Arabidopsis thaliana: one gene and its partner. The protein of the gene in region 1 interacts with the protein of each later gene in a pairwise test. Each region holds a gene or a part of one and is shown in the gene's direction. Other genes may lie near its edges.

The links.
Region 2: the proteins of AT4G16450 (region 1) and NPSN13 interact in a protein complementation assay, tested with the Arabidopsis thaliana proteins (one large-scale study listed by BioGRID).

Annotation. Positions count from the first base shown.
Region 1 is NC_003075.7:9,278,039-9,281,416, forward strand, and holds AT4G16450 (NADH-ubiquinone oxidoreductase), read left to right. Parts: upstream 1-1,870; 5' UTR 1,871-2,093; coding exon 2,094-2,247; intron 2,248-2,336; coding exon 2,337-2,503; 3' UTR 2,504-2,818; downstream 2,819-3,378. Other genes in the region: AT4G16447 (uncharacterized protein), read left to right, coding at 791-1,168; AT4G16451 (uncharacterized protein), read right to left, coding at 2,819-2,962.
Region 2 is NC_003074.8:5,968,799-5,974,525, reverse strand, and holds NPSN13 (Putative plant snare 13), read left to right. Parts: upstream 1-1,953; 5' UTR 1,954-2,235; coding exon 2,236-2,312; intron 2,313-2,527; coding exon 2,528-2,620; intron 2,621-2,851; coding exon 2,852-2,945; intron 2,946-3,260; coding exon 3,261-3,298; intron 3,299-3,457; coding exon 3,458-3,558; intron 3,559-3,888; coding exon 3,889-3,968; intron 3,969-4,050; coding exon 4,051-4,107; intron 4,108-4,182; coding exon 4,183-4,275; coding exon of another isoform or gene 4,276-4,279; intron 4,280-4,359; coding exon 4,360-4,434; intron 4,435-4,515; coding exon 4,516-4,617; 3' UTR 4,618-4,961; downstream 4,962-5,727. Other genes in the region: AT3G17450 (hAT dimerization domain-containing protein), read left to right, coding at 1-845, 935-1,018, 1,103-1,492, 1,578-1,733; AT3G17430 (Nucleotide-sugar transporter family protein), read right to left, coding at 5,564-5,722. UniProt on the Arabidopsis thaliana protein: Vesicle trafficking protein that functions in the secretory pathway.

The DNA of each region.
Region 1 (3,378 bases):
CCAAAATCTCTCCTAAACCCTTTTGTCACTCCCTTTTCTCATATTCACTTTTTTTCCAAGGAATATTTAAAACCTCATGCAAGTTTTCTTGAATATAACAACATACGAATATGATCTTTGATTAGATTACTCTTTTATATATTATGGTTAGGCATGTCCTTGCAAGATTTTTGTATTTAACATATTGAAAATTTATCATTGAATTACAACTCTGTTATGCATACAATCAAATCAAACGTTTAAGAAGACCATCCCTTATATATATTTATATACACCCTATATTCTCGGGATGTAATAAAGTTTCCATTTCAAATAAAAAGAGCCCTTAAAGGGAGGTAAGTGGGGGGCATGAAAAAAGGGTTTATATATCTCAATAATCATCCAAACAAACCAATCCATGTGCTTCCCTTCAAACATTCTTCTTGTCATTTTCCTCCCAACCATTTTCTACTTTGGCCAACTTTTTTTCTTTTGCTTCTTAAAAATAAAAATAAAAATATGCAAATTTCCACTCACACATTATACATTCTCTTTTTACAATCCTTAGATTGTCACTTTTGCCTTCTTCCTCTTGTTCTCTTACCACTTTACTCCTGATTCTCTTCCTTTCGGAATTTCATCGAACTACTCAACAACCCTATATACTTTTATTGTTTTTAAAGTATTCTCATGCAGATTAAATAATAAGAAATAATATACACCTTTTTCCTCCTTATATAAATAGGCTCAACACACGTAACATGGCCCCAAACCCTAGCAAGACTCTCTCTAAGACTCATATCATTACGTCATGAGTTCAATAGCAAGAGACCGAAAGGAACAAATGGTGATCCATTCTTCAATCGTCTTGCTTCAAGAAAGATTCAGACAACTTCAGAGAGCAAGAGAGTTAAGAGCTGAACGAGAGCTCCTAAACCCTAAACCTAACCACCAAGACAACATCTTGCAATATTACAGCGAACCCACTAGTTTCGGTTTCTTTCAGTTTCTACCTATAAACTCTCAAACATCTTCGTCACAGCAGCTCCTATCCCTCTCCTTATGCTCACACTCCACCTCTGAATCCATTGAAAAGCCAAGCTTTTGTCATCAGTGGCCAAATAAAGATGACAAGAAGATGGGTGGGATTGATCGATACGACGATGTTGACACGTCTCTGCATCTCTAAAACTAAAATAATTGTTCCTCCATCTTTTTGAAGTTCTAATTAAATATGTATGTATATAGAGTTTGTTTTCGTCGGTATGCTCTTCTAAAGAGTCTTCTAGGTGGTGGTGATATATGTATGGTTAAAATGGCAATCATATATATTAATTATTTCGAAGTTAATGATTATGATATATTTTATATCACGATGATAAAGATCGATCTACTCATTGATTTATTGGTTATTCTTTTGTTGATGGTTAATTGGTTACTATATCATTCCTCAAGTCTTTGCTTATACGTATCCATGTAATGTTTAGCTTTTTATATATACGTAACTACTTCTACCTCAACTTCACCAACGAAGGCATGGTAAATAACTAAAGATGTCGGAGTGGTTAAGAAGACAGACTTGAAATTTGATTTCAGTTGGGCTCCGCTTGCGCATGTTGAAAACTCTGCTTTTGCAGCTTTGCTTCTTATTGTTTTTGACGATTTTTCTTAAAGATAGTAAATAATTGATCATACAAGTCGTGCCAAAAAATCGTCAATCAAAGTTCAAAACCTACTTGCATCGTATTTGATTCAGTACTCTTATATATGTGTCAGTAATAATTGAGATAGAGAAAGATAGAACTAAAATGTCGACACTCAATCATAGATAGATTTTTAAGAGAATAAAACTCGAGTACTATTCAATACTATATCGTGCATGTTGTTAGATCTGCTATTTTCGATCGTTTGGAGCTTGATTGACTTAAATGGGCTCATTCGGGTCTGTTATGAGAAAGCCCAACCAAGAAAGTTTATGGGTCAAAGAGAAAAGCCTCTAGACGAAAGAGAGGATCTCAGCTTCTGTTGAAATGAATATAACCTAGAAATTGATTTTGATCGGAAGAAGAAGAAAGAAGATAGAATCAGAGATTTGTAGATTTTATCGATCGAAGATGAATACTGACATCACTGCCTTGGAGAAGGCACAATACCCAGTGGTTGATCGGAATCCTGCTTTTACTAAAGTCGTCGGCAATTTCAGCACTCTCGATTACCTCCGTTTCTCTACTATCACCGGCATCTCCGTCACCGTCGGCTATCTCTCTGGTTCATCCACACACCTCTCTCTTGAAATTTCTGATTCTGTAGGTTGAGAATGTGCTGATTTGGTGTTTTTGGAAATGGCGATTTTGTAGGGATTAAGCCTGGGATTAAGGGACCGTCGATGGTTACTGGAGGATTGATCGGGCTCATGGGAGGTTTCATGTATGCGTACCAGAACTCTGCCGGTAGACTCATGGGGTTTTTCCCTAATGATGGTGAAGTTGCTAGTTACCAGAAGCGTGGTGGTTTCTCCAAATGAATGACTTTAGTGTTTTATTTTCTGGATCTGGCTTCATTTTGGAATTTGAAACCCTCTCTTTTTCTCTGTAATTTGATTGCATTTCTCTGCTGTTTGAGGATAATATGTGCCTCTGTTTGTCTGTTATGACTTGATGGTGATGATCAATAAGATTTGAGACAAGGAATTGTGGTGATAGATTTTTGTGATTGTGAGTGAGTGATGTTGCAATAAGGAATCTTTAGTGCTGCAATTAGACCAGTCTGATAGGTTTCTTTGTTGTATATGTATTGGTTTGTAGATAGATGAACCTAGGAGCAGCTGCATTCGAATCCCTCAGAGACACCTTGTCCTATAAAATGTTATTGGTGCTCCTTGTCTATCTAGCTTCTGGAATTTCCCTGCGACATTATTCTGTTGCAAAGCTATGTCGAGGTTATTGTGGTTTGGGCTGTAAATGATTGCTTCTAGGATTGCCATTTTATCCTAGAGGTGATTGGTGCACTCAAAGCAATCAGATTTTGTAGCTTCTCCTCTTGTGGTTCGTTGTTGTGCAGAGGATGCATGTATCAACAGGTAAAAGTTAGAGTCCATCTAATTTTGATTCGTTGAGAGGATAGATGGGCTTTGCCTTGGTGATGGAATATATGATCTTCCTAGTCCTCCTAATTCCGCCAATGTTTAGACGGGATGAGTTCATCGATAAAGTTGTCGTCATGGCTAGGACCTCTATGTCTAACACATTGATGCATCGCACATCTATTATAGTTTGATCTGCCTCTTAATTTCGTCTCAATTGCATTATTTTCATGCCTAGTTACTGCTTCCTCTCCTCACTTTCGACATAGTTGTTGTCTCGTGTGTTGCATATATAGAAATGGTAACATCGACGAAAC
Region 2 (5,727 bases), on another chromosome or scaffold:
GCAAGAAAATGATCAGTTTCTTGGTCTCGTGCCCTCGTGGTGTCTACTTCCACTCCTCGATTGATGCCACTGATATAGTAGAAGATGCTTTAAGCCTTTTCAAGTGTCTAGACAAACTAGTTGACGACATTGGCGAGGAAAATGTGGTGCAGGTTATTACACAGAACACTGCTATCTTTAGAAGTGCTGGAAAATTACTTGAAGAGAAGAGAAAGAATTTGTATTGGACTCCTTGTGCAATACATTGCACAGAACTGGTTCTTGAAGACTTCTCAAAGCTAGAATTTGTCTCCGAGTGCTTAGAGAAAGCCCAAAGAATCACAAGATTCATTTACAATCAAACATGGCTGCTTAATCTTATGAAGAACGAATTCACACAGGGACTAGATCTTCTTAGACCAGCAGTCATGCGCCACGCTTCCGGGTTCACCACTCTTCAAAGTCTTATGGACCACAAGGCCAGTCTCAGAGGTCTGTTTCAATCTGACGGCTGGATTTTGTCACAGACCGCCGCCAAGTCTGAAGAGGGAAGAGAAGTGGAGAAGATGGTGTTGAGTGCTGTGTTTTGGAAGAAGGTTCAGTATGTTTTGAAATCGGTTGATCCGGTGATGCAGGTGATTCACATGATCAATGATGGTGGCGATAGACTATCTATGCCATATGCTTACGGTTACATGTGCTGTGCGAAAATGGCGATCAAGTCTATTCATAGCGATGATGCAAGGAAATACGGACCGTTTTGGCGGGTGATAGAATACCGTTGGAACCCATTGTTTCATCATCCTCTCTATGTGGCTGCATATTTCTTCAACCCGGCATACAAATATCGTCCTGATTTTATGGCGGTAGGTATGATTATCATTCATTTGAATCAATGACTAAAAGCTTTCTGCCATTTTCCTTACATTTGCTGTAAATGTGAATGAATCTGCAGCAGTCTGAGGTTGTGCGTGGAGTTAACGAATGCATTGTTAGGCTTGAGCCTGATAACACGCGTAGAATCACAGCATTGATGCAGGTGAGACAAAAAACAAATCACCAAGTCACACACATTGTTCTCAGAACCTGAGGTTAAACCAACTTTTTGTTGAAATGTTTTCAGATTCCGGATTATACTTGTGCGAAAGCTGATTTTGGAACGGATATAGCCATTGGCACAAGAACAGAGCTTGATCCATCGGCGTGGTGGCAACAGCATGGGATAAGCTGTTTGGAACTCCAGCGAGTGGCGGTTCGGATACTGAGCCACACTTGCTCGTCTGTTGGGTGTGAGCCTAAGTGGAGCGTGTACGACCAAGTTAACAGTCAATGCCAGAGCCAATTTGGGAAAAAATCAACGAAAGATCTAACATACGTTCATTACAACTTACGGCTCAGAGAAAAACAGCTGAAGCAACGGCTACATTATGAGGATGAACCACCACCAACTCTTAACCACGCTTTGCTGGATCGGTTGCTCCCTGACTGGCTCGTAACATCCGAGAAGGAGGAGGTACTTAACTTACTTAAAGTGAGAAACGCTAAACGCCATTCCAGTGATTTTATAAAAGGCTAATAAATGTAGTTTATTGGTGAAGGAGGAGGCTTTGCACGGGGAAGACAGAGCAGAGAAGGAAGACCATGAAGACGATGAGGAAGAGGAGGAGAAGTTTTACATGGAATCTGGTAACGTTGACGGTGAAGGTGAAGACAACCTTGATCCTTACGATGATGATCTTAGTGACGATGATTAGTTAGTGCTACAATTCTAACGAAGTAACACTGTATTTTGAATTCTAGCATTGTATCCTTAAAATATTCGAAAAATATGAAAATTTTGTTGGCTAGAAGAATATAATCAAAGTATTATTAGGTGAAATTAGTGAAAGTGAAATAATTTATCTAACAACGGATATGGATGGGACCAAAAAGTTGGCGCCTCGCTGTCATTTTTTTAACTACCGAATATCTGTCTTTTTAATTTATTTATTAATCAATTTTGTTTTTAAAAAATATATATGTTTGAATAAAAAAGAAAAAAACAACACACACCTGACAGCTCTCTTTCCCTTTTCCCGTTCTTTGTCGTCCTTTGTTTCGTCTTTCATTCATTCTCCTTTGTGTTTTCTCTTTTTGGAGATTTTAACTTCAGTTTTTGTCTAATTAGGGTTTTAATTTAAATTGGAGGGAAATTTTAGATGCAGTGACGTAGTTTTTGGGTAAATTTTCGTCGGATTCTGAATTGTCTCCGGCGACATGGCTTCTAATCTCCCCATGAGCCCTCAATTGGAGCAGATCCATGGCGAAATCCGTGACCATTTCCGAGCCCTCGCGTATGTTTTACATGTTATCCTCTTGTTCAATTTTCTAACTATCTCTGTCGTGGTTACGAAACACTGTGATATATATTTTAGGGTTTTGGAATTTTTTGATTATGTGTGCTCAATAGGATTTATGCGTGTTTTGCTTAATGCTGATGATAAGAATTAGATTTAGTCATCACTCAAAAGATTGTTCTTTTAATGATTCACCATTATCTGTTTTGCAGGAATGGTTTCCAGAGGTTGGATAAGATTAAGGATTCAACTAGACAAAGCAAACAACTTGAAGAACTTACTGACAAGATGAGAGAGTGTAAAAGGTATACTTATTTCATAATTGCTATGCTTTACCATTATGTTCTCGGCGTTACAACATTGTTTGCTAATTGCCTTTAGTAGAATGTGCTCTTTGATCACTGTTATGCGTACTTCTTTTTCTTTGAGCTGGATACGATGCCGTATAATGAGAATTGAGAAGGAAAGAGTATTGATGTGACAAATCCATGATTCAATAATCTGTATTTGCTTGTCTAATGTGTACTTCATGTCAGATTGGTCAAAGAGTTCGACCGTGAACTCAAGGATGAGGAAGCTAGAAATTCTCCTGAAGTAAATAAGCAATTGAACGATGAGAAACAATCTATGGTGAGTTTTTATCCTTTGTTTATTAAATTCATTGAGGCCTTTCTTTGATTATACTACAATGTCATATGTATCTGAAGTAAATATGTGAATATTAACTCTTACTTGGCACCTTCGTAAAGTTCCATTATACAGCATCAGTCGTATTCAGTTTGGTCAATCTTTAGGTGTGTTTATAACCGAATGGATATATTAAGGTGGATATTGAGTGTCATTGTGTATCTATCACTCCCCTCTGTACTTTGTATCTGCTAACATTTTGTTTGTATGAACTTTTTAACATCTGTGTTTAACTTTTTCTTTTGTATAATGTTACAGATCAAGGAGCTCAATTCTTACGTTGCTCTAAGAAAAACGTTAGTATTTCTATCATTCCTCTTTAAGAAAGCTGATTATTTGAATCTCAACCTGTTCTTTTAGGGTTTTGATTTCATATCGATCCGTTCAGAATATCTATATAGGATTTCATTTGACTTTTATGTGTTCATACATGTGAAATTGGTCTTGAATCTCAGGTATATGAGTACCCTTGGCAACAAGAAAGTTGAGCTTTTTGATATGGGAGCTGGAGTTAGTGGCGAACCTACAGCTGAGGAAAATGTTCAAGTGGCTTCATGTGAGTCCTTATGCATTCTTGTCTTCAGTTGCCACCAAAATATGAGTTTGCTTAGAACAATTAGAGATTGACATGCTTGAAGTTTAGACTTTTTAATGCTATATGTACTTGAATATGTTGGATTGGTAACTAATGCTCTCTGGTTATTCGTCTGGCATAATTTGTGATGTCTGTCAGTAAATTTCTGGCAGATGGTAATATGGCACTAGAAATGTTATCGGTGGCCTAGATAATAGAAATGAATGATTCTGATAATTTGATTAGGCGCGAAGTATATTATATTGGGAATGTAAAAACTGATGAAGGCTTTTGTCATTTTATTATGTATAGCTATGTCAAACCAGGAGCTTGTTGATGCTGGAATGAAAAGAATGGATGAGACTGATCAGGCCATTGAGCGCTCAAAACAGGTAAGTTACAGAAGGAATTATGTTCCCCTTAGCCTTTGTTACTATATGAATATATCTATGGTAACATTCTTGTTCCTTTCAGGTTGTAGAACAAACACTCGAAGTTGGAACTCAAACTGCAGCTAATTTAAAGGGACAGGTAATGCAAATTATTCTCCTTTACTTCCATATTAATCTTATGAGTAGAGTCTTAAACAACCTGAAAATTTTGCAGACGGATCAAATGGGACGCGTAGTTAACCACTTGGACACTATTCAATTCTCAATCAAGAAGGCCTCCCAGCTGGTGAAAGAGATAGGGAGACAGGTGTGTAACCTCATATGGACATATGTAGATTTATCCTTTTTGGCTTGACCTCAAAACCTGAATGCTTATGTCTACTTATTTCAGGTGGCTACCGATAAATGCATAATGGGGTTCCTGTTTCTCATTGTATGCGGTGTAGTAGCCATAATCATAGTGAAGGTACTGTCTTTTCTCTCTCTGTTGAAAGTTGTGATTGCTCATTAGCAAGTTGTAACTCTGGTTTTTGTATTAATTCTTCAGATCGTGAATCCGAATAACAAAGACATTAGGGACATCCCAGGATTAGCTCCTCCAGCGCAATCGAGGAAGCTATTGTACTTGAGGAATCAAGACTACATGTGAGAATATAAATCTCTATTTGTATATTTATTCACGAGGAATGAGGAAATTGCATCTTGAGGTTCGATATTTCCTTCTAATTTGTTAACAATCCATTTCATGGATGTTAGAGAGAGGGTTTGTGCTTGTTGGCATTGTGTGCTTTGATAGTTGACGAGGCTTGGGGATGTTTATCTTCATGTTCTTTTACTTGTTTTAACCCATTCGTTTGAATCTGGGTTTGATTGGAGGGTGTGTATATTTTCAGCTTTTGTCTCTATTTCTTTTTCCTTCTTCTTTTTTGTAGCAACTTATCACTTCTTTTGTATAAAATTCAGACCAATGTTATACTCTCTCACGTTTTCATTAGATTCCTTTCTTCGTCCTACTGTAGAAAGTTTCATGACACAGCTGGAATTTCATTAGAAGAGTCCAAATGGTTATCACTTTCTGTAACTTGCTAATACGAAGAACGTGATGAAGAGTACTACTACATTTCTGACGTTAAGTATTTATGAAACTACTGACTGTATTCTCCTTTAATTCGTTTTGTTTCACCTTTCTATTACTGGAGAATCAATTACTACTCTTCCAATCAGAATTTACCTTGAAGACATTAATATTTTGTACCAATCAATCGAGTTCAAATATAAGAGATGCTGCTCAGAAGCCGGAACATAATTGAATCCAGGGTCGGCTGATGATGGAAAAAATTAAGACCACAAATATATAAATTTAACGTCAATTCACTACAAACGAATTTGAGACTTTTTAGTTTTCCAGCTAATCATTGGTAATAATCTCCGCTATTCTATCTCATAACAAATTTGGAATTTTTCACCTGACACACGAGGACACGGGTCTAGATGGTGCTGCAACTTCTTTGTTTGGTTTCAAAGATTTTTTTCTTCTAAGTAACAAAATAACGAATTGGGAAGCAAAATGTCTATTATACGTTTATACCGGCATCTTAAGCAGCGTGATTTCCGAGCTGCGTCCGACCAATATGAGACAACCGGGATGTGATCAAAGGGGCTTCCTCGTCGTTTACCTCTCCTCCTACTCTTGGGATCTCCACACTGTCGTTAGGATTGAATTTATCCGAAGACTTCTTCTCCATCTTGTACTCCTGTG